Tribolium castaneum: one gene and its partners. The main gene of each other region encodes a partner of the protein of the gene in region 2 in a complex. Links are inferred from orthologs where the notes say so. Each region holds a gene or a part of one and is shown on either strand. Other genes may lie near its edges.

What was found.
Region 1: Br140 (region 2) and Eaf6 share a complex: the UniProt entries of both Drosophila melanogaster proteins name them as parts of the enok complex. The link is inferred for Tribolium castaneum from reciprocal best matches to the Drosophila melanogaster genes Br140 and Eaf6.
Region 3: Br140 (region 2) and Ing5 share a complex: the UniProt entries of both Drosophila melanogaster proteins name them as parts of the enok complex. The link is inferred for Tribolium castaneum from reciprocal best matches to the Drosophila melanogaster genes Br140 and Ing5.

The regions. Positions count from the first base shown.
Region 1 is NC_087398.1:15,238,631-15,248,481, reverse strand, and holds Eaf6 (chromatin modification-related protein MEAF6), read right to left. Parts: upstream 8,136-9,851; 5' UTR 7,995-8,135; coding exon 7,917-7,994; intron 7,830-7,916; coding exon 7,626-7,829; intron 7,571-7,625; coding exon 7,534-7,570; intron 3,900-7,533; coding exon 3,655-3,899; 3' UTR 3,500-3,654; downstream 1-3,499. Other genes in the region: uncharacterized protein LOC135266307, read right to left, coding at 1-1,934; peroxisome biogenesis factor 2, read left to right, coding at 8,307-8,417, 8,466-8,882, 9,392-9,601. UniProt on the Drosophila melanogaster protein: Component of the Enok complex which has a histone H3 acetyltransferase activity. Might be involved in transcriptional activation of selected genes.
Region 2 is NC_087401.1:11,385,140-11,389,156, reverse strand, and holds the start of Br140 (peregrin), read left to right. Parts: upstream 1-1,217; 5' UTR 1,218-1,444; coding exon 1,445-1,850; intron 1,851-1,899; coding exon 1,900-2,027; intron 2,028-4,017. UniProt on the Drosophila melanogaster protein: Scaffold subunit of the histone acetyltransferase (HAT) Enok complex which has histone H3 acetyltransferase activity.
Region 3 is NC_087398.1:9,636,844-9,647,765, forward strand, and holds Ing5 (inhibitor of growth protein 5), read left to right. Parts: upstream 1-1,284; 5' UTR 1,285-1,573; coding exon 1,574-1,610; intron 1,611-1,659; coding exon 1,660-1,850; intron 1,851-1,899; coding exon 1,900-2,056; intron 2,057-2,103; coding exon 2,104-2,283; intron 2,284-2,440; coding exon 2,441-2,589; intron 2,590-2,640; coding exon 2,641-2,742; 3' UTR 2,743-2,907; downstream 2,908-10,922. Other genes in the region: cuticlin-1, read right to left, coding at 10-88; myd (45 kDa calcium-binding protein), read right to left, coding at 3,473-3,762, 3,811-4,017, 6,038-6,294, 6,341-6,663; testicular acid phosphatase homolog, read left to right, coding at 4,614-4,703, 4,746-4,841, 4,892-5,131, 5,182-5,491, 5,550-5,734, 5,786-5,926. UniProt on the Drosophila melanogaster protein: Component of the Enok complex which has a histone H3 acetyltransferase activity.

The DNA of each region.
Region 1 (9,851 bases), on a different chromosome or scaffold from region 2:
CCGCTACCTAACAAGTCATTTACTATATCTCGAACAATTCTTCTTTCGTGATGCGATAACCGATAAGGACGATAAATTACAGGTTTATCATCAGTCAAAGTTAGCTTCATTTCTGTCGCAGTTGTGGCACCTATTTCCGCTACATTTCGTGCAAAACAATCTCGAAATTCGTTAACGAGTTGTAACAATTGCTCGAACTGAGCCGGGTCTAGATTCTTATTGACTTGTGTAAGAAGTTCCCACCGTTGAAAACTCTTTACCTCAACCTTCCCCATAGAAAACACACTCACCGTCGTAGCTGTCCTTTCCTGCTCGCAAGGCTCAGCTCTCGCAACGATTTGCGCCTTTCGATAGACCAGATCTTGGTGCGATAGATTGCGAACGGTCACTAGGCCTCCATCACATGTGACACACCGATGAACAACGTGTTCGAACCCTGGTCTCGGACGTTGACACCCTTCAACGTAATAAGCTCCTTTCCACCCATCGTCTTTTGCCTTGATTCGTATGCAACCAATGGATTGAGGAGGGATCACTGTTTCCTCTTCCGCCCAAAGTGCAACTTTTCGTGTCGGAAGTTGGCCTAGAAATGCTTGGATCGATTCGTTGTTTCCGTCAACTACTCTCACAGCTTCCTCATTTGCTATAATCGTATTAGCACCCGCATTCAGGAAGGTCTGTCCCACTATGACAGGCACACGTTGTGCACTGTCTTCGACGATCAAAGCTTTTACGTTTGCCTTGACAAGATCCACTTCTAGCTCTACTTCGACTTCCCCATGCACTTTGGTGATTCCCTGGCCATAACCACGAATCAAATGTAAACTTGGCTGCCACATCAGTCCCAATTCTCTAGCAACACTTTGCTTGACAAGGACCGGTTCAGCTCCTGAGTCAATGTAAGCTCGCGTCGGCTTACCATTGACCTTAATGTCTATGTAATAATTCTTATTATTACTTGCGTCAGCTACACTTGTCGTTAGTGCCTGCTTAGACATGTTTTCTTTTACTACGTTACCACGTCGGCACTCAGCATCCACATGTCCAATGCGACCACATTTCTTGCACTCAATTCTTGGTTTCGGGCACTTTGTCGCAACATGTCCTCGATTACGACAATTGTAACACCGAACTGACGAATACAGTTTTTGTGCTTCGACTCGACTTGGAAGGAACCTCCTCCTTTCCCGAGGCGCCTGCTTTGCGAGCGTATCCCGCTTGTCACCTTCGGATCTCAGAGTCGACAAATACTCAGCGTACAAGCTTTCGGGTGTAACGTAACGCCCTGCTCTAGCCCCATTTCTGAGAGTCACATCAGTGATTCCATCAATAAGACAGGAGACTGCATTCGTTCCTGTTATGTCACAAGCCTGCAACAGATTTAATTTCCCAAAATAATATTGTGCCCAGGTTTCACCGTCTTCCTTCACCCTATTCACTAGCTTACGAAGTGTGGAAGCATAATCGTGGTGATCGGGGAAGGTGGCTTGTAACAAACGTTTCCATTCATCCCAGCTCCGGTCGTATGCTGAGGGATCGAGATTGTCGTACCACTCCTTGGCCAACCCCTTGAGTCGACTTATCATGCCATAAATCGTTGTACGTTCGTCCCAACCGTTCACGAGAGCCAACTGGTCAATTTTATGCAACCACTTAGTGGTACTAAAATTGGGGTTTCCTGGAGCGAATTCAGGAATCAGGTCACTTTTAATGCCAACTTGTCCTGATGTGTGCTCAAAATTGCGGTTTAGCAAACGTCGATTCAAGTTTTCCACAAGTTGCTCAAGTCTCGCGATTCTAGCGGACTCGGCCGAAACTGGGGGTGAATTTACTGTAGTGGAGACCCCAGGCGCGGACCTTTTCGGCCGTGGCTCATCGTCACTTGAGTCCGAGTCGTCCGAGTCCACATTTCCTCGGTACCTGTGACGCCCCATTGCGAAAATCTCACCAGAAAACTTTTCGCGCCTTTTGAGCCACACCCAAATGAAAATTGACAGCGTGTGGTTGCGTAACTCCTAGAACTCGTCAGAAATCAGAAAAATCAGATAAATTCGGCTAGCACCCGATTGATTTGTTCGATTTCAAGTCGTAAAACACAATTTTGTTACGAATGAAACGGTACAGATTCCCAAAACTTCAATTTTTGGCCCTTGCCTTGGCGACCCACAAATTCCTCACAAAATCACCACAATTCACCACTCTCTATCGGAAACGATTATTTGAGCAATATCCTACCGCTGCTCTGTAAATGAAACTCGGAATTCACCCAAAAACTAATTTATTAGCAAATTAGATTCAACAACGACATTGACACTGCCACAGTGTCCTTCCAACTAACTAGGCGTTGCCCGTACGCGCCTCACGCGTCATCATTTCCCGCCAATTTCACCAGCAGCGCCCCCTTCACTTAACAAATGTGCATTTAATTTGTACCGATAAAAAATGAAATTATTGCAGACATTCAACTACGATGAGTCTGCTATTACCCCAATGACCCATGTTAACCTGGCTTCCTATAATTGCTTTCTTGCTAAAATTAGAAAGTGGTGGGCTTTTCATGTCTTCTTCTTTCTTTAGTGGTCTTGAATTTGTCAAAAATTAAAACTTGTAGCATCTTTTAGAAAATATGAAAAACCCTTAAATATGTACATAAAAAAATTGATTAACGAATTTTGAAAAAACAAAAGAAATTGTAATTTTGCTGCACAGCTACCCAAGTGTCTAGTTTTTTATTTGAATATAGTTTTCTATATTTTTATTTATAAAAATATGTTCACCTACAGTATTGTTTCTTTTCATAGTCCAATCAAATAAAGGTTTAAATCTATTTTTAACCCACAGCAAGAATTGTTGCTAACATGAAAAACCTAAATCAGCCTTATTTTGGTCGTCCCATTTTTTGTCAAAATACCAACGTTGACAAAAAACATCTTTAAAAGATTTTTGAATCAACGGTATAAGGATCAAAGATTGATTTTAAGAATCACAATAATTCCTTAGTTATTTGTGGAGAGAAATGCTTTTACTAAACACGTCTGGCATATTACAAAACCATTTGTATAAGAAACAAGATTTTTCAAATACTTTCGCAAAAAAATTAAACGGATATTCTAATACGCTAATGATCGGATTCTCTCACCTAATAGAAAAAACATAATCCGAAAAAACGAGGTGTAGTAATGAGATTACAATTTCTTTGGAGTTTAGTCGCACACCTTTGTGTTTGTTTTTGACATAAATCTTACACAAGAAAAAGTTTATTTACTTTATACGATTTATAATTTATGTTCGTCTAATTAATTAATACCTTGTAATAATTTCTAACGCAAAAGCGTAATAAAAACTAAGAAAATGACATTTACGAGCAGACAATTTTATAATGCAGCAATGAGTGTTGAAAAGATAAAACAATTTAAAGAAAGTTGAACTTACATAAATACTTAAATTTATAGACACATACACTTACCGTACTTATTTCTTATTTGAATGAAGGAAATCATTTAATTGCTGAATAATTTTATTTATTGTTCCAAACAATTACATCGGTAAAAAGTGTACAATTTCAATATGCAGGTACTTAGATTCCAAACTCACAATTGAAAAACCTTAAAACTGTAAACACACACAAATAGGTTGAGAAAACAGCACAAAAAGTCATCTGTGTCTAGCTTTCTTATTATTAGTTTTTTTAGCACTTGCACTGAAACTTTTCTGTTTGGCCGAAACGTCTCTATTGGGGCTATTTCGATGGTCAAGCCCGTTCTGTACACCATTCAAGGAATTCGTCGAGTGTTTTCCTGCATTTTTCATCCCAGAATCTATATGGTTCGAATTAGGACCTAAGTTAGTATCACTAGAATCTCCATTAGTTTGAGATTCAGTATCGCTGTGCGGCTCCACTACGAGTAAAAAATAAAACTAAAATTACTTGAAAAAGTAACTGCTTGAACGTAATACCTGTACAGAAAAACTAGACGGTTTTAGCAATTTAATTGCCAAATCATTCGGCTGAAAAAATGAACGATGAATAAAAGCGGCGATTTTGTGCAATGTAAGTAGATCGGATCAGTGGCCTTGTAAATTTTTCTGTTAAGGTATTTCCAAACTAATTACTACAAAACGCGTTACAATGACCGATTGTTCTGGCGACTGTTATTACAAAATGTCTACATTCCATCGCCAAAAACAACGTTTATAGACTATCACAAAATTTTAGTTGCTAATTAAGTGAATAGGAGGCAGGATACAATTATTAAAAAAACAAAAAATATGAAAAAGTAAAAGTAACTTTAAAAATGAGAGAGATTCCACGGTAAACAAGCAAATTTTCCGACACAATTAATTTCTAAAAAGCGTTCATTAGAAAAATTATGTTGACATCAATGGTTTTTAAATTGCTGGGGCCATAATTAATTTACGGATTACTTCCGCATTTTTGCCCCACTGTTATTATGTAAATATTTTCCATTTATAGTCATCAAGTTACAGCATGGGAATTTTTTCTGACTTAATTAGAATAACGTACACTAAATTCAAATATGACAGGCGTCAAACGCTACTAAAAATTAGGTATTTATGACCTATTTACCCTTAACTTAAAACTCAATTTTCATTTTTAATTATTTTTTAATATAAAAAACACTGGGGCATTAGAAATTTACTCTTTTTTCAACTTTATATTAAATTCATAATTTTCGATGTTTCTACAGGGTTAGTCTAAAAAAGTATATTTTTAAAGCTAAAATCATAAAGATGAGCGTTTGCTATCAATTAAATCTTTCTACGCATTTTTTTTTCGGAATTTTCCTATAAATTTTTAAAATAAAGTTTAATTAAGCCAATGAAAAAATTTTTGTGCAAAAATAGATAAAAAAAATAATCATCGATTAAGTTAATCTTGGCAAAGTAAATCACAAGTTCAATCTTAATTACAGTTTGATTACAATTAAAAATGTTGGAAAATATGAACAACACAATAATTTTATTTTTTGGTGGCTAGAAACAATTTTTTTATTATTAATGGTTCCCTTCAGAAAGAATATCATTAGAATTTTTTCGTCAGTGACTTAATATTAATTAATTTAAATTATGTATAAAGAACTGCCGAAAAATTCTCTGTGTAATTATTGAGTTTTGAGACACAGGAAGAAAATACTTTTAGCAGAATGACACTGTACGTATACACCTCAATTTCAATTTCAATGCAATATTATTTTGCAAATTCTGAAACTCAAACAAAAACGATTTTTAGAACTAATCCTGAACTAGTACAGAATTTATTTAAAGCCCATGTGTTACAAAACTAAATCCACATAGTTAGGATATTTTTTACCCTACTTCCCTCCAGTTTGGAACGCCCCTGCTCAAAATTTCTATAGTTAATTTTTTTGTATAATCAACTGTCAGTGTCAAAATTCTGATAAAGACTGTAACACCCTAAAAGTTCATGTTCAACCACTTTAGAAACTGGCTGTATTCTGTATTTGACAGTTTGAACACCAGATTTGACATTTTTGAAAATTGGACGTTAGTGTTAATCGTTAATTCGTTACTCTAAAGGTGGTCTAAAATAACTAAATGTGTTGTTGTACGTCTTGTAAATTGGAGACAACTTGAAAAATTTGGAAATTGAATTTTCTAGGTAAAAAATTACACCAACCTTAATTAAAAAAAAATACTATTTATGATAATGCCAACCTGACAGCTCTTATTACATTAGATTCTCGAATTCGATTGGGAATATAAAGATTATTAACTGTATCAAATATTGTAATATTATCTGTAATGGTTTCTGAAATATTGAGAAAAACTCACTAAAAGAAGCACCCCTCGCTACTGTAGTTACATAGAAAAACCCCTTGTAATAGTAATTCTGACTAAAATGGTTTTACTGTGTAATGTTCTTGCAGACATAATTAACGATAAAATATACAATTAAAGAAGTAAAAAATATTTTTATTCGTTGTTCCTCAAAATGTTCAAAATGTCTTTCAATTTACTTCCAGATGAACAACGTTTACAACATTTTTGTATAGTGATTAAAATATGTAATTCTCTGATTGTTTTTTTAATAAAAATACTTACGAGTATTTTGTTTATTTCATTTTAATGAAGACAAAAAATGTAATTCGATCATCCGATTGGAGAACCTCTTGCAATAGTAAGTATTTCGAATTATAATAGGTTTTAGTGTATTTTTATATAGTTTATGATAAAACAAACAATAACATTAAAACAACTAAAATTAAAAAATAGAAACTTGATTTTTTTAATCAAATTTAAATTTTAAATAATATGTTCAAAATGTCTCTAAACGTAACTGCCTGTTATACATATAAAATTGAAACATGCTTTTAACAGGCTCACTAGGTATATTTGTTTTTCTTTTAATACAAATACTTACTTTTGCTTATTTAATCATTTTAATTAAGAGGAAAAAGTTAATTTGGTAATTCTAAAAACCTCTTGCAATAGTAATTAGTGCGCATTATAAAAATTTTACTGTATATTATTTTGGCATGGTTTATGAAAAACTAAACAATAGAAATATAAATAAAAATATAAACATTTGATTGTCCTAGTGTTCGTTTTACATAAAATGGTCATAAAAAATGCACCTAACATCTTGCGATTTAAATCAAGAACTGACAACCTTTTTGGGTGGAATTGAAATACCGTATTTACCACCACTATTTTTATTTTAATTTTAAGCAAAATAGTCCCGACAGGGACTCCTCTATGATCTTTTGTGATAATAATAATATTAGTAATAATAAAATACCTGTCAATTAACTTTCTGTTGAACGAAGTGTTGCAATGCAAACAACAGTTTTTATATAAAATTACAATTCTCTTAACAGGATCACTCTAAGTTAAAAAAAATGTTTCTTTTTATTCGTTTTAATAATAAGAGAATAGTTAATTCAAAAAATATCAGTCCGAATTTATTAGAGGTTTATGATAAATAATAACAATAAAATAAATAAGTAAAAAAAATATTTGTTTGTTCTACTCGGTATATGTCCCTATGAAATTTTTTAAATAAAAATACTTATTTTTTTTTATTCAATTAAAGTAAGAGAAAAAAGTTAATTCGATAATCCGAAGAACCTGCTGCAATAGAATTCGTTCGGATTATAGAAGTTTTACTGTTGGTGAATTGTTTTTGTAGGGTTTATGACACAACTAACAACAAAACAAATAAATAAGTAAAACTAAATGTAAAATGTTCAATATGCCTCCCAATTTACTCCCTGTGGGAGTTGTAAGCAATGAAAATAAACTCTAAATTATTGTAATATTTTGTTTCATTGCTTGCAAAATTTGAATAATTTTAGAGTAAAACATTTACAGAGCTATTGGAATGTCTCTCATTTTTCCAGTGCATATAAGAGGCAGTGACCAAACTAGAGAAAACATCTATCTAGAAGAAAGTTCACAGCAAAACTACCACAAACACTACAAAAAAGCTACAAAACGAATACAAAAAAAACTAGACGTATGAATGATTTTTTATTTCATAACTATTCTTACTTTTCTCCTGATTTTGGTCAACAATTCCACTAACCGCCTGTAAAACGTTCATTAAAATACAAAAAAAATACACAAAACTCGTCCCAACTCACAGCCATTGAGGTTATGGACGATTTAGAAAACAGACGTTCGGCTTCTTTAAATTTCCTATTTCTTTTATCAGCCTTAGAGTTTGTTGTTTTGTTACTCGATAAATACCGATCCCAGCCTCGAATTATATTTCCATACAACTGAGTGTCTTCTAAATAGGAACCTTCAAACGCGTAAATTTGGCGCTCGAGATTTGCTAACGTCTCCTATAATTGGTTAAAGACCGCGAATTTAAGCCAAACAGAAAAACATTTCTTAATACAAAGCTTCAACATTTATAAAGTAACTCTTACCGCAATTTCTGCTTTTCTTTTAACAAGTTCTGCTAACTCTTGGCGGGCATCCACCGAAACATTGTTTTTGGCCGACATATTGTTCTTATTATCACAAAACGATAAAAGGAAACGTTACACTTGTAAAGTCGTTGTTTTATGCTAAGTGCCTCAAGTAATTACACTAAAAATTGTTTATTTCCAACAAAACACCTCACAACTTGACGTTTCGCCAAATGTCAAATACGTCACCCGTGACGTCGCTGCCAACATAACAACCCGAAAAGTTCCACAAATTCTGAGGTTATGATCATTATGAAATAATTAAAAAACAACAAATAGTGCCAAAAATACAAATAGTTGCAATAAATCAACATTCCAAACGCTCAATTTGTCTAAAACTTGTGCAAAATGTCCAACGATAAGTTACTGAGAGTCACCCAAATGAACGCAATTTTCCTTGATAATGAAATCTACAAAGCCCTTATGCGAATTCTTCACGAGACTAGCCGTTTCTTACCCGTAAGTGCCCCCTTGTTAAGGTTTGGTTGCCTGAAAGTGTAATTTTAGCCTGGTTATATAGCCCCCATTGAACCTGAGTTGGGCCTAATTGTGCGTTTAGCGCTTCTGAAAAATTCAGTCTGTCGCAATGAGAGCACTTTTGGGCAACAACTTTTATCAATAAAGTACAGCAACATGTCGAATTTCAAGAAAATTCTTTACTTGTTTGGGAACTGTTTTGATTACGTTAAACATCGTCTCGAGTTCTGGAAGCCCTCGCATAAGGTTAACACGTTTATGTTTAAGATACACATGGTTTTAGTTTTATTGAATTTTATCAATATGTCCATATTTCTACGACGTGGGGTTAAACCGTTATTGATAGAAAGGTGTTTGGGTTTGAACCAAGAGTACTCAACCAAAACTGCTCCAAGGCATTTTGAAGCGAAATATTTATCTAGAGAATTACTTTGGAATGGATTTATCGTAAGAATTCTTTCAATTTAATTTATTTTTCCGTTGATTGTTTAGATAACCATAGTAATTATAATTATACAGGGTGTCTCACATAACTTTACGAGGCCTGCGCCAAATGTATACATACGCACCCAAATATTCAAGAGTCACAAAACACTAGATACAAAAAATTCACATTTGATTATTTATTTTGTGGAAACCCGTGACAGTAATCTGTTTATCTTAATCACTAATTGACTAAAAACGTAATTTTTTGAAGGAGTGAACAAACAAGAAAAAACAATCCAGTTTTTCAAAATTTGTAATCGAGTTCGTATATCGGAATATGTGTTGTAGGTGGCATTTTAGAGGCGCAGGTCGCGTAAAATTATGTGAAACATCCTGTATTATTTGTCTGAGATTAGGCAATCAACTGTGCAATTTTGGAATATTTTACTTTTTTTAACGAATCAAGAACAATGAACGGAAAAATTGGTGCAATGATTAATCGCTTGTTGGTGCATCAAGTACTTTTCCAGGATGTTCTTATTCATATAATCCCACTAATTAATTACCACAAAATTAAGAGAACAATGAGGCACTTTAATCCATTCCACAAAAAACCTACTTATGTTGTCCTCAATTCGCGTACCATGACCATGCATTCCAAGTGTGCACATTGTGGGGAAAATCCTATTTTGCCTCATCATATGGGATGTGCCCATGTATTTTGTTACGTGTGTTTAAAGGTATAGTCCATATTTTTTTGTAGTCAAATTCAAATGTCAAAGAGCCGTCGGGTTGGCATTAGCGAAAACATTAATATTTTGAATTAAGGTTGGCGTAATTTTTTAACTGTCAAATTCAATTTAAAAATCTGTCCAAATTTCAAGTTGTTTTACATTAATTACAACACGTACAATGCACCGAGTTATTTTGTAGATTAACGACTTAAAATTTTATGGTCTGCATAACCCAACCGACCATTTACACTAAGTA
Region 2 (4,017 bases):
CATTACAATACAAAATTGTAATTATTTCGCAAATTGCTGAAAATAGTGTTCAATTTGTCTTTTTTCTATCGTTATCTTGATACATTTCTTTTAAAAAATTTGCTTTAATTAGCTGAAACTACTTACCTACATTAAATTAGATCGAAATTAGATCGAAATTAATGCTATGTTAGATTATTTCACTTGTTTTAGTTTGTTTTTGAACTAAAGGTTTTTTTATTATGCAAGATTTTGTTAAAATAGGCAAAAAATCCAGCACAACTGTTCGAACTTATTGGGATTTTCTCTCGCTTTGCAAAATGGCGTTTCAAATAAATCACAAAACTACAAAATTTGGTCAAAGGTAATATTACTTTCACCTCTGTTTATTTTACATCTTCCAATTTTGTCTAATATTTTTGAAATTTTATGTAAAATTTTTAGTAGATGGGAAATAAATACGTTCTATTTGTTATTTTTTAATTTTTATAATATATTTTAATAGAGTAATAGTTGATTAATAAATAAAGCAAATTTGTGGCAAATGAGATAAACTGCTGCTATTTTTCACTAAAATTTTGACTTTGAGAAACATTAAAAAAGTTCGTTTAAAAAATTACAGTTTATTTCGTGACTGCTAAATTTAAACAAATCATTCTCAATAAATTATTGAATGAGTCCAAAAAATTAACGTGATTGGTTTCTAACGTTATTATAATGGCCGAACTTAAATGGACCAATCATATCCAAAAACACAATTATTCAATGAACCAAAAAAACTTAAGTGATTGGTTTTCTCCGCAATTTTAATGGCCGACCTCAAACGGCCCAATAAAATGCTTACAAACTTTACAACAATTAATACGCACTCTACGTTAATTCATAAAAAGATGTGTCTGTCTTTGTTGCATCTCAATTCAGTTTTTTTACTATGATTAAAAACACCAAAACTGGGTCAAAGTGGGGCAAAATTATCTTCGTTTTCTTAAAAAAAGGTAAACAAACGACTAATAAAAAACAAATTTGAGTATTTTATTGGTAATTATTATAATTGCAGTGTCCGAGTTGAGATTTCTAAAATCTAGGGAATTTTCGTTGGGCGGAATATCCGCAAAACCAAACAAAAAAAATTATTAGTACAGTGTTTATTGCAAACACTATCAACATCACACTTATTTCAAACATATCTGTCCCCAATACTCAATCTTATCTCACTTAATCCCCAATTAAATAAATAAACTCGCTTTAATAGTGACTGTAATCCCCCACCGCCACAGTTGGTATCCCTTTTTATTGATGTTGACCCAAAACATCAATAAAAACACAATTTCTCGCTTAAAACCTCCTTCACACCAGTGTTTTTTCTGGTAATGCCTCCAAAACCCCCAATTGTGCCCCCCACACCGGTGCAAACCCCCCCAGTGTTGTGATTTGCTCCCTCCAACCAACCTAACCTCACTCCACAATGGGCATAGATTTCGATATTTTGGAGCATTGTAAGAAAGTGCGAGCCGACCATGGCCCCCCTTACACTTGCCCCATTGAAAAGTGCGGCCGGACGTACAAATCAGTGTGCGGGTTACAGTACCATTTGAAAAGTTACGACCATGATAACCCGACACCTTTACCACCGTGTACCCCCAGCACGCCCAAGAGCAAGAAAGGACGGGCTCGGGCCACTCCGGCTGCGGTCCCTTCGGCTCCAAGTGTGCCCGAACCTTTGACGTTTGAAGAGGCCCAGAAGATGGTACAGTTTGATATCAATGGGCAGGTTTTGCGGTGGAATATTAACGAAGCGTTGGATATGGTGTCCAAGGAGGACTTGTCGGACGATGACGTGCCCGATATTGGGCGATTCGAGCAAGCTCAAGGTGAATTTGGGTGGGATTTTGGTATTTTTACGAAAAAAAAATGTTTCAGAGCCTTCGGCACAGTTACCTGAAGCCAGTTACAAAGAACTCGATAATTACAATATTTGTGACGCACCTCCGCGCCCCAATGCCTACATCAGGTTTATCGAAAAGAGTGTGGAAGAGCTGGATGGCGAGGTGATTAATTTTGAATCAGTTGATTTGAGTTGATTACAACAGTAGTCTAAGATCAGAATTAGGGTCGTTCTTCATTCATCTGCTGACCAGACGAAGCTTATTTATTATCAAATACATAATATATCGCGAATAAGTTGCTTAAAAAATTGTTTAAGACCACAAAAAATGGGGCTAACAGCGTTGAATTTTAGCTTTTTTTAGGTGTTTTACAGCCGTTATAAGTAACGTTTTTGAATGTTATTTACAAGATACATTCTTCTACTCGGGTTGTATGAGAGAAAGTCTTTTAAAATGTGATCAATGGTTTATTTAGTTCAGAAAAAAATCCTGAAAACTGAAAAAAAAACATGATACATTCTTTATTCCCAAGAGCCTACAACAGGGCCAAAAGTATTTTATTTTCTACTTAACACTTAGGGTCGAGTTCATAAATAAATCTAATTGTTGATTTAAATTTAATGTTGACTTTAACGAAAAACTTATTTCATAATCACTTTAATTGTAAATTTAAAAATCAATGCCCCTTTAAGTTTAAAGCCACAATTTTTGGCCATTAACGCATTTAATTCTCTACGTAAATTGTGTAAAAAAATTGAGAGTGAATAATAATAATAATAATTAATATTATTATTTATTGGAATCAAAATCAACGACGATCGGATCAACTTCCGTAACAGGTTTTAAGTAAAATGAGTTGTAACGTTTCGTCTATATAATAAACATCATCAGGCTTTTAATTCGTTTAAATTAAACCAACTGTTGGTTTCTTGGTTTAAGAGGTGAGTTACCCAAATGCAGGAAATAAAATATAAAATAATCGTGCTCCTAAAAACTATAAACAAAAAGTAAAAAAAAGAAAAAACCACATGAAATTTAACCTAAGTCTCAAAAAATGTATATGCAATTTTTTTATGTAATTAAATGAATGAAAATGAATATCACAATTACTAGTAATATTATTAAAATTACTGCACATTTCGTACAACGACGATTTTAAAAGAATATTAGTATTACAATGGTTACAACAAAGTCATTGAATAACGTGAGTTAATTCTAGGAACCAGAAAAATTATCCTATTCGCCAGATTAATACAGTCTATCTTATTTTTCAGTAATTTATGTTAGAATGCGATACTTAAGATAGCTCTTTTGATTTCTAAAGAATTGAACAAATGATCACAGTTTTCTCACTTGAAACGCACAAGGGCAAAAAATAATTAGGGCTTTTAAATTCGTAAACTCTCTATGATTTCAATAAATAAGTCCTAAAGTTTTAAACGAGCTATTAACAATATTTGTGATATTCACAAACGAAAGTTTGTTGTCGAAGGTAACTTTTAAATCTTTAAATGTGACTGCTCCTTGTAAAATGTGTCTATTAATATTATAGTTGTACACAATCTTTTTTTTTCTTATTTGTCTAAGACGTAATAAAATATTTAGAAATATTCAGTTTAAATACAATTTAAAAATATTTCTACTTTTCCGAGGTTTTTTTATTATTATAATTATTAGTATTATAATTATTGCAAAAAATACAATCGTTAAAAAGTATTAATGATTTAGGGAACAATGGATTTTTTTGAAGAAAACGTAAATGCTAATGTTTGAAAAATTTTAATTACAGAGCATTTTGCTAAGTTATAAAAAATTAATTACTAATTATTCTTTGACATTGTTGTAGTTCCTAATCATCATTTTATTGTTCCCAATATTTCGCAATTTTATTTATGTAAGATGGAACTGCTATAACTTTTTTTTTGTTCTTTGTGTATTTTTTAAACAGCTTCAACTGCTTGCAGATGTTTTTCTGTCTTTGTTTTTCTATTTGCCGAATTTGGTTTTAATTTGCTCAAAATTTCTGTGACATTAATTTTTTTAAATTAATTTTTGAATACTTTTCAGATAATATAATTTTATCAGTCATCTTCGAGCTGTAATTTTTTTTTAATTTACGGTGATTGTCAAATTTTGCATAAATTTTGATGTG
Region 3 (10,922 bases), on a different chromosome or scaffold from region 2:
AATACTGACCATTGTTTTCCTCAGAACTGTATGAATGCGAGATTAGGGCAACAATAAAAAGTTTTGGAAATAGGCGCGATCGAGACATTTTTTCTTATAAATTTCGACTCATTTTTGTGAGAGTGCAGGAAAAATAGTGCATAACAAACACACGACCGCAGAGTTTCATCATGAGTAATCTTTGAAGAGGTAAACGAACTCGCGGATGTAACCTTGACTTTTTCATTCCGTTTACAATTATTTACGACTGTTATCCAAATAATTTTGTCTTTAATCGTTTGGTTTAAATAAAATACAACCCTTATTGTTTTTTTTTTGCTATTTTAACGCTTTCATAAGTTACGAAAAATATCCTTAAGTGAGGAAGTAAGGACAGTTTGTATTATCACAGTGAACAAACTAGAAAAGACTCTAATTTTTTTTAAATTTATAATCGAGTTCGTGTTCTTGGAGGCATTTTACAGGCGATGGCGTCGTAAAATCATGTGAAACACCCTGTCTGTGGGCGGGGCGGGAGCTTAATATTTGGGGCACGTGCCATACACCAAAATGTGTATTAGGATTACAAAAAGTCAAGGTCTTTACATTCTTATGATTCTGCTCCAAAATCCAGTTTTAAATTTGCAATTTTTGGAAGTTGTTTGTAGGCAATCACCTATACAAAGGAAAGTGTTGTGGATTGTCTATCATTTAGTTTAAAATTTTAACAAAGTTTTATCAGTTTTATAATAATTTAAAACCAAAATGTGTGTGGAGGAGCACAAAAAAAGATTTTTACATTTTTGGATAGATCAAATAATCATTGTCCAAAATTGATTTTGAAGTTTTCCAAGTTTCAGAGCAAAAATAATTTCGCTATTGCAGAGGAAATTAAAAAGGTTTTTACATATTTTTCCTCTACATTTTTGTGATCCTGTATCAAATTTCAGTTTAAAATTTTGAAAATTATTTGGAGGCAACCATCTATACAAGGGAAAGTGTTGCGAATTGTCTATCGTTTTTGGGGTTTTTGTCAATTAAAACAACGTGTATTTACTGTTTTCGTATTAGTCTTTGAATATGTGGAGAAACTGTAGTAATAAATCACTAAAAAAAGTTAAATATGTAAGAGAAACACCACATTCAACCACACGATGTAAACCGTTTTCTTCAAGCAACGGGTGGTTCGTCAATCAGTTTAACCATCCTGTAAGTAGATTGCATAAATAACGATTCTGGAGAGACAATTTCCATAACGCGCCGTTCCCATAACGCAGCAAAAAAAGTGAACAAGGTTGCCACGTGGGGACGTTCAAAAAAATAAATCAGCATTTCTCCAGTTATATAAATTGTTTTTGTTATTTATGGGTGAATTGAAGAAATTGAAGTAAGTGTTCGGTAATTTTGTCCTTTTGTTTGGATAATTTTGATTTTTTAAATTTTCTGGAACATAGTGAAATGTGGCGACGCTGGAACGCCGTTGTCAAATCTGACAGCTGTCAGCGTCGTTTTTGTAATGTGTTGTTATTATTAGCGCCAAATAATAGGATTTTTCTTACGAATTTGAAAGTTTTGAAGAGTATTAAGTGCTAACATGACGTCTGCCTTGTATTTGGAGCATTACCTGGACAGTAAGTGTAAATAACGCGTTCAAGAGACACGTAATTGTAAAACTTTCAGGCTTGGAACATTTACCAATCGAGTTGCAAAGAAATTTCACTTTAATGCGGGATTTAGATTCCCGGGCGCAAGGTTTAATGCAAAATATTGACTCTCTATCCGACAATTTTTTGAGAAATCAGAAAACCATTAGTCCAGAGGAGAAGAAGGAACAACTGTTTAAAATCCAATCGTTATTCAACAAAGCAAAAGTAACGCGAGAGTTTAGTTAGTTTATTCATAAACTGTTACCTTTTATAGGAATATGGTGACGATAAAGTCCAGTTGGCAATTCAAACCTATGAACTAGTTGATAAACACATTAGGAGGTTAGACAATGATTTAGCGAGGTTTGAGTCTGAAATTCAAGACAAAGCTCTGAATTCCCGCAACCAGGATGAGCCCTCAGTTGGCAAGAGTAAGAGAATTGCTAAGTGAAATGTATAGTTACTGTAATTATTCCAGAAGGTAGGAAAAAAACCAAAGATGGTAAAACGGAGAAGAAGAAACGTCCTGGTAATTCAAGTGAAGAAGACTCGACGGGAACAGTTCGGGGCACAAAGAAGAAGAAGCAAAAGGGGGCCGGTTCTACTGGAAATAGTGGCAGTACTACAGGCAGTGGCGCCAAAGCTGCCCTAGGTGAGGGTTCGTATCATCTCATTGCCTTTATATCTCACAATACGGAGGCCTAACATACAATAATAAATCAACTGAAATGCCATTATAGGCCTCCGTGTTTACATGACGCATAAATCCATATTTCCTTCGTTTACAGACAGTGTTTGTAATAATTTTATTTTAGCCACTGATTCAGTCTCTGTACTGCCAGGCTTAGCTGGAATCGCACATCCGAGCGACGTTCTGGATATGCCTGTCGATCCAAACGAACCAACATATTGCCTTTGTCATCAAGTATCATACGGAGAAATGATCGGTTGTGATAACCCAGATGTAAGAAATCAAATTCGTTTTGTGTGCAAATTAATTTTTAATAATTTTCAGTGCCCTATTGAATGGTTTCATTTCGCTTGTGTGGGCTTGACAACTAAACCCAAGGGTAAATGGTACTGCCCTAAATGCACACAAGACAGAAAGAAGAAATAATGCATCGATGCGTTAAAAGATTAGACAATTTTTTATTTTAACTTATTCCTTAAGTTTAAACCGTTTGAAAACATGGTTTTGTTACGAAATAGCAATAATGCATTTGTTATTTTATTAAATTTATATCGTGTGAATTATTAAGGAAATAAACGTAATTTAAGCATTTGTTGTTTGTTTATTTATTGGTAAACTATCTTCCCTTTCTTGAAAATCGATGAGTAAAAAAATATTTCGTTATTTGAGTTGAGAATACGGATATCTAAAGGTTAGGAAATGGAACGACGTACGAATTAAACGTTCCCATCCTCGATAGTTCCACTAAAATCGCCAGGGAGCGCAGTTGTTTCATTACTGTATAACAGTTAACATATAGCAAACAAAAAAATAATATAAAAAAATTAATGGAATGGTTGGATTTAAAATAAATTAAAACTTTTTGGCGCTAAGACGACATGACGCTCAAACCAGAGAATACTATATATTTCTTGTCTAATAAAAAAAAGAAAATATACGTAATTTAAGCAACTGGGGTTTCTTCCTTGCTAAATTATTTTTAGTGTCTTGGAAAAAGATGGGTGAAAGAAATTCGCATTATTTATTCTTTATTTGAGTTGAAAAATATCTCTTGTCTAACTAGAAGAAACGATTGAGTGTCTAGCTAAAATAGCGTCTGCATCTGCTTAAAAGCACAGTCTTATATTCGTGATTAACTGATTAAGAACTAACTCTTTCAAAATTCATCGTGAAAGCTTCGCCCGGTGTCAACCATTTTCGATTTTAAAAATAGGTCTGGATGTGCGAGTATTTCATCGAGTGATAACATATTGTCATGATCCCCATCGGCCAACGCTAGAAGGGCTTCAGCTTCGTGTTCACTGTGTCTAGGACTTTGCGGTGCAACGTAATGTAAAAGCTCTCTCCTATCGGCTCGACCGTCTCCGTTCAAATCAACAGATTTGCGAAACTCGGCTCGTCTTTCATTTTCGTCTTGTCTGACAATGACTGTTTCGTCGTCGTTACCTAAAAATGACTAGTGGTTGTAAATTTAACTGTCGTGAATTTCTAAACCTTCAGTTTGGAGAATCGCAAATTCGTCCTCTGTTAGTAACTCGTCTCCATCTCGGTCGAATTTGTCGTACAGTTCGTCGACCAGTGCCAATTGGTTGGCAGCACTGGATTCGGGATGGGTGAAGGCCAGAAATTCGTCGACTGTTAAAGCGTCAGGGTTGGAGCGAGCGGCTTCCATCCAAGACGCTTTGTCCCTCATTATTTGTTCTACAAGAAAAACATTACCAATTATTATCACTCTTCTGTATTTTAGTATTTTAGCTAAAAAGTTCTTGCTATTTTTTGTATGTAATTAATACTGTAAAGAGCAAACATGATATCATATTCCATATCGAGCGCGATATTATCCTTGTTCCTTGAAGAGCTTGAGTTATTGGCATAACATAACCATTTATTCATCAAATTACTGACTCAGCCTGTATATTGGGTGAATCCAAAATTTAAATATAATATAATAAATATAAATATAAACAATTCATTTGACGACCCTTGTGTTTCGCAACACTCAGTTGTGTAACATTTTTATAACTTTATACGGCTTATTGTTCATAGTAATCGCTTATTTGTTAAATTTAATTAAGATATTCTTATCAGAGGAAAAAATAGAAACATGTTCCAGTGAAATAGTGTCAATTATAAGCACCAAACTCTGTCGAGAAAGAATCTCAAGATTAAGGAATTTTTTGGGTGCATAAGTAAGCTCACATAAGCTCAGCTCAGCACGCGTTGAAGTGATCAATAGCCGCATTGTGCGCCAAATTTCTTGCGCTTGATATCAGTCGCGAAGTTGTTCTGCCAGTTCAATGTTTCTAAAATGTCCCCTTTCCTTCCTTATGCTAATCGCCTCTGTTGGCATCATTCCCACAAATTCAACACTTACGCAACTTCATATTGTGAGTATCACTATTTTTAAACGTTTATGAAAAAAAGTTCAGGTGTTTAGACATGGCGAACGGGCCCCCACAGAAACCTACAAGAATGACCCACATATCAACGTCACGTGGTCAGGAGGTTGGGGTCAATTAACAAACGTATTTATTTGAACAATGATTGTGGGGACAAATAAACCGATTTTTTCCAGCGCGGCAAATTGGAAATGTATTTACTTGGGCTGAAAATGAGGCAACTCTACCATGACTTTATCCCCAAATATTATTTTCCGGATGAAGTAAAAGTCATGAGCAGTTATGCCGACCGATGCCTTATGAGTGCCCAGGCTTTACTGGCCGGCCTGTTTCCACCCAGAGATGATCAAGTCTGGAATAAAGACCTCTTATGGCAGCCCATTCCTGTACATTACGTTCCCCGAAGTCAGGATAATGTAAACAGAAATTGCCAACAGTACAGTTATTACTAAAGCTGGAATTTTAGTTGATTGCGATGAAAGCTAAATGCAAAAAATACGACGAGGAGTTCGCTGATGTTTTTCACTCCGAAGCGATCAAGAAAATCGATGAAGAAAATAAGGAATTGTACGACTATTTAACAAAAAACACGGGACAGAAAATGGATTCTGTTGGGAAAGTTGAATTGTTGTACAACACTCTGGAGATTGAACGTTTGCACAATTTGACTCCTCCATCTTGGACGCAAAACGTGTCCTGGGAGCAAATGCGGAAACTCGCAGCCAGAAGTTTAGAAACATTTACTGAGACAAACTTTATGAAGAGAATGAAAGGGGGTTGGTTACGTTACTTTTGATAATTTCAGTCTCTATTTCATTGCTATAATTATTCAAGGAGTGTTTTTGAGCAAAGTGATAACAGACATGGAAACAGATAAAAAGAGCCCTTTGCTTTTCTTGTATGCAGCACATGATCTTACCCTTGTAAATATCTTAAAAACTTTGGGTTACAAGACGATGCTAAAACCCGGATTTGGTGCTTCCTTGGTTTTTGAATTGCGCAACAATTCACAAATTACCGTAAAATAATATTCATATTTTAGTAGTTTTTTTGTAATATTCATATTCTAGTTGTTATATCGGGATGATATTAAAAGTGATCCAGAGAGGATTGCAGTTGAAAGTTGCAACACTCCGTGTTTATTGAGTGGATTCAAAACCGCCCTAAAGGAGTTTCTTCCGTCAAACTGGAAGTTGGAATGCAATCAGTGAATTCATGTTTGTATTTTTCCGTGGTTGTAATCTTTTATAAAAATAAATACACGGTTTTTATTCTGTTTTTTGCCCTTTTTTTTGACTGAAACACTGCAACTTTTTACTTGCCTTTGATTGATCTTTGGAGGCCTCTGTGCCGTTTCTCGTCATGATTTTCCACATATTTCTTGCTAAAGCCTCGCCTTTTGAGGAAATACGTGTGATACTCTTTCCAAGTTATTACACCGTTTCTTGGATCAACGTCTATCATAGTAAATAGGGCGTAATTATTGCTAACAGCGGTGGAAATATGTTCAACAATTTTTTTTCTTATCCATTCGGAAAGTTCTTTAGAGTCAAGTTTGTTATTTCCGTCTTTGTCGGCTCTAAAAATTAAGTTACACTTCTAATAAATGTCTAATCTGCACCTACCTTTTAAATACGTCTTGAAGGATTTCAGTCTGGTCCTTGTTGGCGTTTTCGTTCGTATTTATGTTGATCAAGTATTCGTTTTTATTATTTAGAAGGGAGCTTTCTTCGTCTTTTCGATCCGAATTGAAATTACTATTTTTCATTCGTATTTCGAACGAATCTTCGGGCTTTTCAAGACGTATTTCTTTCACAATTTTGATGGGCTTTAGTGGCACGGACAGCATCCAAATTGTTAGAAAAAACGTGATGTAACACAGAATAGGGACGGTGTAAGACCACCTCAACAGCAAAATGAGATGTTTGAAATTGTGAGCAATTTTCATTCTTTCTCTTTAACAGTTTTAACTTCTATATTTTTCATTTGGGTTTCAATGAACATTGCTTTGTTGATAAGTTTATTTCACATCGTGACCTCTACCTTTTGATTGACATTACACGGTTTTTTCAATTCGTTTCACGAAACACATGAGGACGTTGCGAAATCAAACATTTTGCAGAATTGACCGTTTACACTACTGTAAATGGGTTATTCTGTTTTCTTTTCATATCGTGCAGCGAAATCGATCTAATGAAAGTGTTACGCGCGCGCTCTCGAGCTGCGGGCTAGAGAAATTTGAATCGGATGTTTTGTGTGTTGCATAGGTGTAAGTACTGAAAGTTAGTTTCAATCCTGTTCCAAATGATCAGATAAAATTTAAAGTTTTACGGAAGTTATAAACAACTTAAAAGTAGATTAATAGTAGTGAATTTATTGCATTGTTATAATATTTCAAATTTATTTGGATATTGAACTCAGGGAGCTCCTACTCCCTACTCTCTTCCCTGTTATTTTTCGCAGCAAAAAAACAATTTGCTAGTTAGTTTTAAAAATCATTAAACACTCACATTAAATGAATGTTTTCATTAAAAACCACTACCATAAAAAATAAGAAAAATAAATAAAAAATTACGAAAATAAACAATTACACACAACCTTGTTAGCTTATTATAAAAGGACAACAATTTTTGTATTTTTAAGTAATTAGCAATAAAATTCTTTTTAAAATAAGACAAAACGATTTTGTGGAAAGCTTTTTGTGAAAAATTACTAATAACTTTTCGAATTTATTTGTTTAATTTTTTTATGAATTATTTTTTTTATACTATAATTTATTTTAATTTATGTTTTAATTAACGTTTTGTTTTTATTAGATCGCAGTTGATATGTTTACAGCTCACGCCGGCCAATTATTTGTACCATGTTATACATTAGCCCGGCGCATCCACCATTTTTAACCTAACTTTAAAATCATAAGTGTATTACATGAAGTTAACTAAAATATGTAATGACCACCTTCAAGAACACTAAATGATTTTTTGTATGTAGTTTGAATTTTGCAGGAGTTCGAACTGTTGGCGATATAAAACATTAAGGAATTTTATTCCTCGTACCACGTTCAGTTTTTTTGTAAAATCCACGTAACTTTTTGATTTTAATTTTTTTTAAAAATGGGTTTTGTGTCTTTTATTTCTTAACAAAATTTCATTACATAACACATCTGTAGTCTTATTGTGTATAACAGCTCGTGGCAAGTTATTAACTATATTTGTTGATTCAGTTATCAAAAGTTGCAATAGGAAATTGATTATAGATAGCTATATACAAAGTCTTTTAAATTAAAAAAATCAAACTTAAGACATAAAAATAAAATAAATTATTTCCTAACGGAGAAGCCGTCTCCTGTGGGATCCAAAATCCAGGGGTAATTATTGGGGCATTCCATGCAGGTGAACAGACGGAGCGTCTCTCCTGGAAGCTCCCTCGTAGTCAGCGCGCACGAATTAGGCAGGGAACAGTAAGGCTGGCCTTTAATATCGCATTTCTCCTTCCATTCTTGGAAGTCACGCAAGCCGTTCAGCTCAGTTGGATTCTGCATCCATTGGATGACCTGGAGGTTGGTCACAAAATAGACATCATTACGCTGCAACATCTCTTCGATGAATTTAATAAGCTCTTCCTTGAATTCTTTCTTGCTCTTCAGCCAGGAGGCGTGGAAGTGGAGCCCGAGAGGCGCGCGGTTGCTGTTCAAGTGGCGGTTGAAGTTGTGTCTGAGGAGACGAGCAAACTGCTCGCCTGTTTGAATATTCGAGCAGGAGTCGACCATGTGACAACCAGGCAAAGATTCGTCAAAAGTGGGGTCATCACGTCTGTCCAGCTCGTTCATGACGATTTCCCAGACCGGGTGGCTTCGGCTGGGGCAGTTGTGCGCGTTTCCGTTGCACTTGTGCGGCATCCGGAAGTAGAGGGTGTAGGGCCAGATGGGCACGCGGCCCAAGGACGCCGTGATGGAGGCGTCGTAGACGAAGAACTGGTCGGCCATCATTTCGAACTGTTTGTTGCCTCCGACGCGAAGGTACGGGGCTCGGACGCCGATGATGGAACCGTCCGTGATGTTGGCGAAGCGCTCAACGATCAGACGCGCTCCGGCCATCTCGGCAAGCCAGTCGTCGTAAGACCCTTGGCTCCAGTAGTTGGGGTCCTCTTTGTGCGTCAGCGAAAACACGGCGATTTCGTGGCCGCGTCGGTGCAGGTCTTGGACGGCGGAGTAGTTCGTGTATTTGTGCGAGACGAAGAAGGTCCCCCTGATCTGGCAGCCGTTGGGGTTGGCGCGGTTTCCGTTGAAGATCTCCTCGTACAAGTCGATGTTGTCGACATTGACGGCGCCGTTGAAGGTTAAGGTGATCATCTGGGGCACGTTGGCGGGCTCCAGTTGGCCGGGGATCCTGGTACCGTCGGCGGAACAGAAGCAGTCAGGGAGAACGCACTGGGTGGGGTCGCAATCAGGCGCCCGATTTGGATCGGTTTCCACAGCTGTGAAGGACTTATTGTAATGTCGAATTTAAATAATTAATGAGTTACTTACTGCAAGAATTTTCGTCAGATTCGTCCTTGCAATCGGGTTTACCGTTACAGAACAATTCCTTGTCGATACATTCACCATTGCCACAAGACAGTTTCCCTTCAGGGCAGATGGGCTCGTCCGTTTTAAAATTGGGCAAGACCTTGCGGGGCTCTAAAGTTAAAACAGCGTCACGAAATGCCGAAAAATTTACATTTTATAACTCCTGTTGCTTCATTTTTGTATTTAAAAACTTGTCCCAAAAGTTTTTTATTTGACTTTCATTAAATGTTTTCATATTTTTACTAGTTTTACAGTTACGTAAAAGTGAAGGTGTGTACATAAAAATGTAGCAAATGTCATTGCCGTTATCAGAATGTCACTTCCGGCTTACGGAAGTAATATGTTGTAAATACCGCCTCGTTTTATTCTAAAAAAAATTCCACTTTTTACTTGAAAGTATGAAAGCTTTGTTAAAATTTAATTATTAAAGGTTAACAACGCGAACGGACCAATAAAATTTGTTCAATTTGGTCACGTGATCAGTTAATCACGCATTTAATTGCCGATTAACTTAATGACGCTTCTATAAACCGACCCATAGTATTTAAAGATTTTGATTTTTTAAATAGTAAATTGCACGAATAAAAAACGAAACAACAGTAGTTTAAACAATAACAATCCAATCAAAAAACCTTGGGGTGAGAGCTATGTACAAAGTGTAATAATTGGGTGTGTACTTTTGTGACTGGCTTTGCTTCAAAAAATAAAATATTTACATCAAAATTCGTCATTGTTCGCAAATCTTTCAATTTCATAGAAAGTAGACGAAGAAAAAGAAGGAAAAAATATTAATTACAACACAGAAAACATACAATTGTGGATGAGGATTGATTACACGTATGATTTCCATAATTTTACAACGAATTTAAATGCAATCGAGGGTCCGTGTTTTGAACCTTGGTAATTTTGAATTAATTAATGACTGCGTAATTGGTTGCACTTGAAATTCGTCAGGGTGTAAAATTATTTGAATCACCATGTATGAATGGTTTATCTGCTTAAAACAATTTTGTTGGACGCTAGATAAACCATTCGAATCAGTAAGAAAATTCAAGAAAAATGTCTGTAAATAAAGACTAGATGAACACAGAAAGATGTATTTTGTACATACAATGTGTAAGTATTTAAGACAGACAGAAACGTACCGACTGCTTGTGTAGGTACAAGGAGAAAAGAAACAGACGTTTGAAATGATTTGGAGTTGAGTGGTGTCGTGTGTTTCCGTGCAAACGCACAATGGATTAGTTGATTAATGTGCGGATTGTCTGAAGCTGTTAGTGAATAGCAAAAGCGCATGCAACGACTTCGTTAATCGAGCTTAAAGTTAGAAAACACCATCTACTTTCTACACTTTTGTATCGGAGAACTGAATAATTTTTTACACAGTCTTTGAAATTCGTTGCTCTATTGAAGCCGAAACAGCGGTCGCATAATTTCTACAGCCACCGTTCCCTCACCGCACTTGAAAGTGCGACTTACTCTCAAGTTTATCACAGTTATTGACTTTTCCTTTCCAGTCACATGTTTGTTTATCGATGTCAAATGCCAATCCGCTGGGACAAGTGATTTGCTTTAGACCGGACTTAGTACACCTGTACGTTAAAATGGGGCTTAATATCGGGTTTTGACCAAGAAATAAT